Canis lupus familiaris: one gene and its partner. The protein of the gene in region 2 binds, or shares a complex with, the protein of the main gene of each other region. Links are inferred from orthologs where the notes say so. Each region holds a gene or a part of one and is shown on either strand. Other genes may lie near its edges. The genes, in order: SIMC1 and SLF2.

The links.
Region 1: the proteins of SLF2 (region 2) and SIMC1 are in contact, whole or in part, in a cryo-EM structure (PDB 7T5P), measured with the Homo sapiens proteins. The link is inferred for Canis lupus familiaris from reciprocal best matches to the Homo sapiens genes SLF2 and SIMC1. Residues at the interface, in NP_060591.3 of Homo sapiens: His738, Val772, Leu775, Lys778, Asp783, Phe786, Gln790, Gly791, Phe792, Thr794, Ser795, Ala796, Tyr797, His798, Tyr799, Cys820, Ile821, Gln825, Ser828, Met831, Glu832, Ile835, Arg836, Asp838, Thr839, Ser841, Asp842, Ser843, Pro847, Lys919; in NP_001295125.1 of Homo sapiens: Tyr426, Arg428, Leu431, Lys435, Leu438, Pro440, Val442, His443, His444, Leu445, Phe447, Gln448, Arg470, Arg471, Phe490, Asp493, Pro497, Val521, Asp522, Lys525, Glu526, Tyr528, Met529, Met532, Lys533, Gln536, Leu537, Arg571, Asn658, Gln661.

What each region holds. Positions count from the first base shown.
Region 1 is NC_049225.1:37,895,480-37,899,296, reverse strand, and holds part of SIMC1 (SUMO-interacting motif-containing protein 1), read left to right. Parts: intron 1-3,608; coding exon 3,609-3,761; intron 3,762-3,817.
Region 2 is NC_049249.1:13,791,317-13,795,233, forward strand, and holds the start of SLF2 (SMC5-SMC6 complex localization factor protein 2), read left to right. Parts: upstream 1-1,216; 5' UTR 1,217-1,386; coding exon 1,387-1,526; coding exon of another isoform or gene 1,527-1,578; exon of another isoform or gene 1,579-2,155; intron 2,156-3,917. UniProt on the Homo sapiens protein: Plays a role in the DNA damage response (DDR) pathway by regulating postreplication repair of UV-damaged DNA and genomic stability maintenance.

The DNA of each region.
Region 1 (3,817 bases), on a different chromosome or scaffold from region 2:
CATTAAATCAGGTGCTTACAACATCCAACCTCATCAGCTGGGGAAACCCTATGGAAACATCCAGGGTGGTGTCATGAGCTGAGGGCACCTGGGTGGTTAAGCATCTGCCTTTGGCTCAGGTTATGATCCCAGAGTCCCGGGATCAAGTCCTGCCTCAGGCTCCCCACAGGGAGTCTCCTTCTTCCACTGCCTATGTCTCTGCCTCTCTCTCTGTGTCTTTCATAAATAAATAAATAAAATTTTTAAAGTCATAAACTACTTTGATTACTGATTATTTATATATGCCCTAATTTTTTCTTCTGAAAGTTTTTAGAATCCTCTTATTGCCCAGTATGCTTGTTGTAGGTCTATATTCACCCACTATACTGGGCATTCAGTCTAGAAACATCCTTCATTCCTAGAAAATAGAGTTTTTATGTCTGTTATCATGTTTTTAATTTCCAAGGACTTTTTAACTTTGTCTCTTATGTCCCCTTTTAAAATTTTTTTTTTAATTTTTATTTATTTATGATAAGCACACAGTGAGAGAGAGAGAGAGAGGCAGAGACATAGGCAGAGGGAGAAGCAGGCTCCATGCACCGGGAGCCCGATGTGGGATTCGATCCCGGGTCTCCAGGATCGCGCCCTGGGCCAAAGGCAGGCGCCAAACCGCTGCGCCACCCAGGGATCCCCCCCTTTTAAAATTAATAAAAAGTATTCTATTCTTGTTTTCTTCTTTCATGGACCCATACATTCTCATATCATTGATGATATTATGGCATTTGTTTTTGTTTATTTTCTGTATAGTCTTATTTTCTCCTAAATTGCTTTTTTAGGGGGAGAGGGGAGTTGGTCTTGGCTACTTTGACCTTTATTTATCTCTCATAATAGAATATTTCCATAAATGTCTGGTAAACCTTGGTAGTCTATCCAAGTTTAAGGGTGACAGACTCAACAGCTGATGGGAGTTCCGAGTACATGGGAGGAATTGTCATTTCTGCACTTCCCTGTAGGTGGAACTGACTGCCTATTTATTTATTTGTTTGTTTGTTTGTTTATTTTTTATTCATGAGAGACACACAGAGAGAGAGGCAGAGACACAGGCAGAGGGAGAAGCAGGGAGCTCCATGCAGGGAACCCGATGTGGGACTCCATCCCGGGTCTGCAGGATCACACCCCGGGCTGAAGGCGGCGCTAAACCGCTGAGCTACCCAGGCTGCCCACCATTTCTTAAAAAATACTTTGTCAATGTCTTCAGGTCTTTCCTGTTGGGCTGGAAAGGTTTTCCAGAGAACACTTCCTATTTTCTACATAAAGGATAAAGACTGGGATGCCAAGATTTTGAAAGACAAGTGTGGGAAAATAACAAGAGTCTCCGCGTCCAGCATGCATATGTTTATGTCATGCCCCTGTTGTGCTTTGATGCCCTTGCCTCCCAGCTGTGCCTGATATCCTAGTACAAAGACCCTCTGTTTTATCTCTGCAAGATGTTAACCTGTAGTTTAGGGTCTAAAATTTTCTTAAAGAGCTTACAAACCATTATGCTCATTTTCCCTTATATCCTTTAATTCTCACTTCGGAGAAGACTTACACTGCCATTTGCACAGCTTAGTGAAGATTCCTTTTTTTTTTTTTTCTTTTTTGGTAAATAGGATTAAATAGAATTGCTTTTCTCTATTGCTTTTGCTCTACTCTTCCTAAACCAGTTTTCTCAATTCTACTAAGTCAGTTAAAATCCATCCCTTTGGGCAGCCCGCGTGGCTCAGCAGTTTAGCACTGCCTTCAGCCCAGGGCCTGATCCTGGAGACCTGGAATCGAGTCCCACATCAGGCTCCCTGCATGGAGCCTGCTTCTCCCTCTGCCTGTGTCTCTGCCTCTCTCTGTGTGTGTCTCTCATGGATGAATAAATAAAATCTTTAGAAAAAGAATAAATAAAATAAAATCCATCCCTTTGCTAAAGTCAGATTAAGAATCATCCTTAAGCATCTCGGTGGCTAAGTGGTTGAACATCTGCCTTTCGCTCAGATTGTGATCCCAGAGTCCTGGGATCAAGTCCCACATGAGGCTCCCTGAAGGGAGCCTGCTTCTCCCTCTCCCATGTCTCTGCCTCTCTCTGTGTGTCTCTCATAAACAAATAAATAAAATCTTAAATTAAAAAAAAAAAGAATCATCCTTAAAGGGAAGGAGCACATGGGTAGCTCAGTTAGTTAAGCATTTGACTCTTGATTTTCAACTCAGGTCATGATCTCAGGTTTGTGAGATCAAGCCGCACATTGGGTTCCATGCTAGGCGTGGAGCCTGCTTACATTCTTTCTCTCCCTCTCCCTCTGTGCCGACCCTGACTTCTCTTCCTCTCTTAAAAAAGAAATCATCCTTAAAGCATGAGGGGCAACCCTGGTGGCTCAGCAGTTTAAGTGCCGCCTTCAGTCCAGGGCGTGATCCTGCAGACCCGGGATCGAGTCCCACATTGGGCTCCCTGCATGGAGCCTGCTTCTCCCTCTGCCTGTGTCTCTGCCTCTCTCTCTCTGTGTCTCTCATGAATAAATAAATAAAATCTTAAAAAAAAAAGCATGAATACACTTGCCTTATTTAGTTAATTGGTAACTTTTGATTTTATGATTAGCATCTCTTAATTGACTCCTCAAATCAAAGGCTGGGACCTTGACAATTACCTGCATCTAACCATGCATCCATCCCCCATCACCTACTTTTGCACCTTCCTGCACCCAAAGTGATCAACATATTGAATGTGCATCATTTCCTTTCCATTTTTATGTAATTTTATATCTAAAAATGTGTTCCTATACAGTATATTTTAGTTCCTTTCTGCTGTATATTAAAGGATATCATGCCATACATAATCTATTGGGACTTATTTTTCACTTTATATTATAGAGTACTAAGGTTTGTCCATACTGTTACTTATCACTGTAGCTTATTCATTTTCACTATGTAGTATTCTATTTTGTGAATATACTTCATTTCCCTTCCATCCTCTAAAATTTCACTGTTGTTGTCTCCTTTCCTTTCTTCCCATTCCTTGTGGATTTTTTAAAAGAATTATTTACTATAGCATCAGTGGGATTTTAGGAGGTAACAAAATTAGAAGTGTGTATTAAATCTACCATTTTTACCTGGGATACCTAAGTGATCATCAATAGTAATTTTGACTGTTTGAGATGGTTTTACCTTACTAACTTTTAGAGCCTTCACCCTGTATATAGTATGACTCTATTGCACATACTCTAAACCTCCGTTATTTGCATTAGTAGATGATACCTAATCCTAGAAAGCCAGCAAGGACCTGAGTGGTCATCCGGTCTGACTTTCCATCTGCTCCAGGAAATGTTCCTGGTCAGGAGGCCATGGATACTCTTTGACCTCAGAGGTACCTTTCAATAATCTCAGGAAAATGTCAATATTTCAGCTAGCTGTTATAAGCTTACTGCAATTAAATGTAGGGTTTCCATTAGACTTGTTTAAATATTGAAAATCACCTAAGATCCCTCTTCATTGCCTTTGGAGAAATCTAGGGGCTTCAGAGCCCAGGTTTAAGGCTGTGGTTTTGAGCACCATACAATAAGACAGAAGTTTAAATTTTTTTTGTTCTAATCTTTTTTCCATTGCAGGGATGTTATCAAGTGGTTGGTCAAAGTAGTAACTGAAGATGGATTAACTCAGCCCCCAAATGGGAATCAAACCTCTTCAGCAACAGGAATCTTGAAGGCCAGCAGTAACCATCCTTCTCCCCAGGCCAACCTGACAAAGAACACCAATCAGCTGTAAGGAGCAGGCACAAATTGTCTTTCCCAGGGCTGTTGGGATTTATTGCAGTAAA
Region 2 (3,917 bases):
TCTAAAGACCTAAATTCTTTTCTGTCATTTGAGATTTTCTTCCACCCAGGTGATTGAACAGGCCTGCCAATCAAAGCTTGGACATCTTGAAGATTGGTATTTTGGTTTGACATATACGTCATAACAGTACATTACAACAATTAGTATATTACATATATTATATGTCTGTGTATATAAGATGTCAATATCTGATCTGTCTCTGGGAGATTTTATAGTAAAGTATGTAAGAGTAGGTCTAAAGAGCAAAGGAAAAGGAACGCTAATTTGCTCAATACTTATTAAACGACAGACTCCAAACTGTGAAGTTTACACTGCTTATCTTATAGTTTACAATTTCCCAGAAAAGTAGAATAGCCATTTTATAGATGTAGAAATTGAGGCTCAGAAATATTCTGACCAGTCTCCATTTGTAAGAAAAACCCTGGCTGACAGCCTCCAACTCACAAGCCCATTACAAAGGAGATTTGGAGATTGCTGGCAGCTTTCACTAATCTATGCTGTCCACACTTAACATGGGTAATTGAAAGCTGACCCTATGTTCCTTTCAAAAATCTCCAAGGAATCGGGTTGCAGACTTCATGGATAACTCATTTCAACAGCTGAGAAAATGCTTCTGTGGAAGAAAAACAGCCTCTATTTCAGTGGGGTTTTTTCCCCCTTAAGAGAAAAAGCACCCACCACAACACGTTAACAAGAACTCTCACAGAATGGACAAGACTTCAGATCGGGCTGTGCAGATTACCAAGGAAATGGTGACAGCATCAGGGCACTTTGGCCTAAGATGTTAAAGAGACGATGCAATGAGCAGCTGGGGATTTCTGAGGCACAATTGTAGGACACAGGAAGCCCAACCGTTGGCCATCCTCACTGAGGGCAGCTGCCGGGCTCGGGTTTGCTTCTGCAAACCTCGACCTTCGTCCTCGAACAGGCGGCTGTCGCCAGCTGCCGCAGCGCCCGCAGCCGCCCGCGCCGGTTCGCCCCCGCGTGCCTGCCGAGGCCGACGCGGCCCGGATGCGACTGTGCGCTTCCCCCCCCCACCCCCCGCCGCGCACGTGACGGGGGGGGCAGTTTTCCTACCCCCTCCCCTTCTCGAAGCCCCGCCTTCTCCCGAGAGGCTGCCGCTTTCTATTGCTCCACTACTGGAAAGACCGGCGCGGCAGCCAGTCAGAGTGCGACCCTTCAAGTAAGACCCGCCCCCTGTTGGTCCTCAGGTTCCTTCCCGCTCACACAGGAGTCACTTCCGAAGAGAGAGAACCGCCATGAAGAGAGAAGGGGGTGCCGCCCAACTCTGCTCCGACAGCCTCCCCGAGTCCCAGCAGCAAGACGGCAACCACGCACCCAACTTCTCCAGCCACAGCTCATGCCGCCGTCGCCAGCGGCGCCGACATGACAAGGCGCTGCATGCCCGCTAGGCCAGGTTTCCCCTCATCCCCAGCCCCGGGGTCGTCGCCCCCGCGCTGCCATCTGAGACCCGGTAGTACCGCCCCTGCTGCAGCGGGAAAGAGAACAAAGAGTCCTGGGGACAGGTACCGTGCAGAGGGTTGGAGAAGGGGCCGGGTCGCGGGGGCAAGGGTATGAGGGAGGACTGCGGACGCCCGCTCTTTCAGTTCCCGCCATCCTCCGCGAGCTCAGGCCTCGGCGTTCCGGGGCCTGGCAAACCCCTGCCCCGCCTCCGCGCGGGGGCTTCTGGGACTTCGAGTTTCTTTTTCTGTAGTTGGGACGCAGGTCTCGGTGTAGGGACCACAGCCTGGGTGGCTACGGAGAACCCGCCTTAGGTAGACCGTGATTTTTGTCCTTTCCGAGAGCTGGACCCGGGGCCCTAACTGCTAAGTGCATATTGAGGTGGTTTTTTTGTACGTTCAGTTCTGCTAATCGGAGTAGCATAATAGTCTAAAATCTTTTCTAAATTGTGGGTGGAATTGTGTACGATGTGACGAGGGAGACCCTTCCATTAATTACTTAATAGTCCAGTATGCACGATAATTCATACTTAAAGAACATGCAGATTTGGAATGTGATATGTTTTTTCCTCGGCAGCTTTCCGCCTCTCCAAGAGGCTAGATTTTTTTGTGAAGATTTTGTGGGAGCTTTGTAACGAGATGGGGAGTTTTATCAAATGACATCCTCTGACAATAAAAGATGTTTAAATTCTCTACGCACTTGGTACTGTCTTTTTTATTTTAAGTTTTAAAAAGCTTGTAACTTAAGTGTCACAGTAAGTTTATCTTCTAATGTTGTGGTACAGGTCCACAATCCCTTATCTTAATTGTGGAAGCCAGGATGCTATGAAAATCAAAAGTTTTCAGTAAGTTTGGCACCACATCTTACTTGGCAGCCAAATCTGACTAGAAGTAATGGAAGACTATATATGGGCTTTATCACACTGAGTGTATTTGTAAGCTTTGCTGGAGAAATATTGGTGTATGCTTCGGGGTGCAGTGTCAGACCCCACTGGGGGCTTTATGTAATGCATCCGAGTTACCCCCTTTCTAAAATCCAGTAAATTCAAATTCAAAAACATTTGACCCCAAATTTTCAGGTAAGGGCTTGTGAGCTGTTATAATTTTAAAGAGCTAGTTATAAATAACTAATGGACATTTCTGTGCATATGAAATTAGAGAACTGTTCCTACTTGAAAGTTACATTCATGGTTATTTTACAGGTTTCTTGTATGTTTTACCCAAAACCATTTTCCCTCTGGTGTATTACTCGAAAAGGAGCCTGGGATCTAAAATTTTAAGATATAATATACTTTCTTTTAGTAATTACTGTAAAAGCATATTTAGTGTTCTTTTGAATTAGCCACTTCTTAATCCGTTCCCATCTCTTTCCTCAACCAGTAATGGAAGGCATCGTCCTTTACCAGTTTGCAGAACCTCTAGCATTTCTTCCTTTATTCTCCTGTGGCATTGATTTTTTTAGATTTATAAAAACAAATGCATAGATTCTTCCTTAGTCTGGCACTGATACTCGTTTCATAACCAGTTAGCTTTTCTACCAACATCTCACAAACATTGTGGACTCTTAGTAAACCATTAAAGATGGGTGTTGCTCTTCTTATGTGACCTGTGAAGCATACAAAGGACTGGGATTGTTCAAGTTTTGTCTGAGCATTCCAACCTCACTGTGGATAATTGTTTAGGGAAACTGATAGTGTACTGCTTCTCTTTAAGTAAAATGAATATGTTTTACCAGAATTTTGCCAGGAAGTTAATTTTTTACTCTACATATGATGACATTCCTCCTTATGCAGCTGACAATTCTAAATACATCAATCCGAATACAAATTCTGGTAATATGGTTCACTTTTGTGTTACTGTAAGGTACAGATATCCTTAAAAATTAAAACAGTTGGTTTTTGTAATTGTTCACTTTCTTCCTTTTCTCTTGTTTTGTGTTTTCCCTAGGCAATATGTTATTTTTGCAAATATCTTAAGAATTTTTATATAAAAGTTAAGATTTTGAAACACTAGTTGTGAAGACTCATTCTAATTTCTGCTGTTTAACTTAGATTAACATCATACTGTAGTGTACAAAGAAGATAATACAGGCTTGGCACTTGATCCTTTCTGTCTTTTGGCCAGCATGCACTTCAATTCAGCTGCCTCCCTAGATAGGCCCAATCACTGATATTGCCATTCTGTCATCTGCTCTTGTTATGAATCTGTTTAGGTTTTACTCAGTTTTTATAATCTCTGTTTATTCATTCAGCAAACATCTATTGAGCATTATTTTGTACCAGTCATTGGAGATACCAAGCAATAGGATCAGATCCCCTCATGATTTTCAGTCGTAGGAAGTACTGTCAATTCCCTGGATCCATATTCCAATGTTAATCATTGTAGTACTATAGGTTATATAAGTCTCAATTGTGCTTTTGTAAATTTGCTTCTACAGGAAATGGTAAATTATATTTT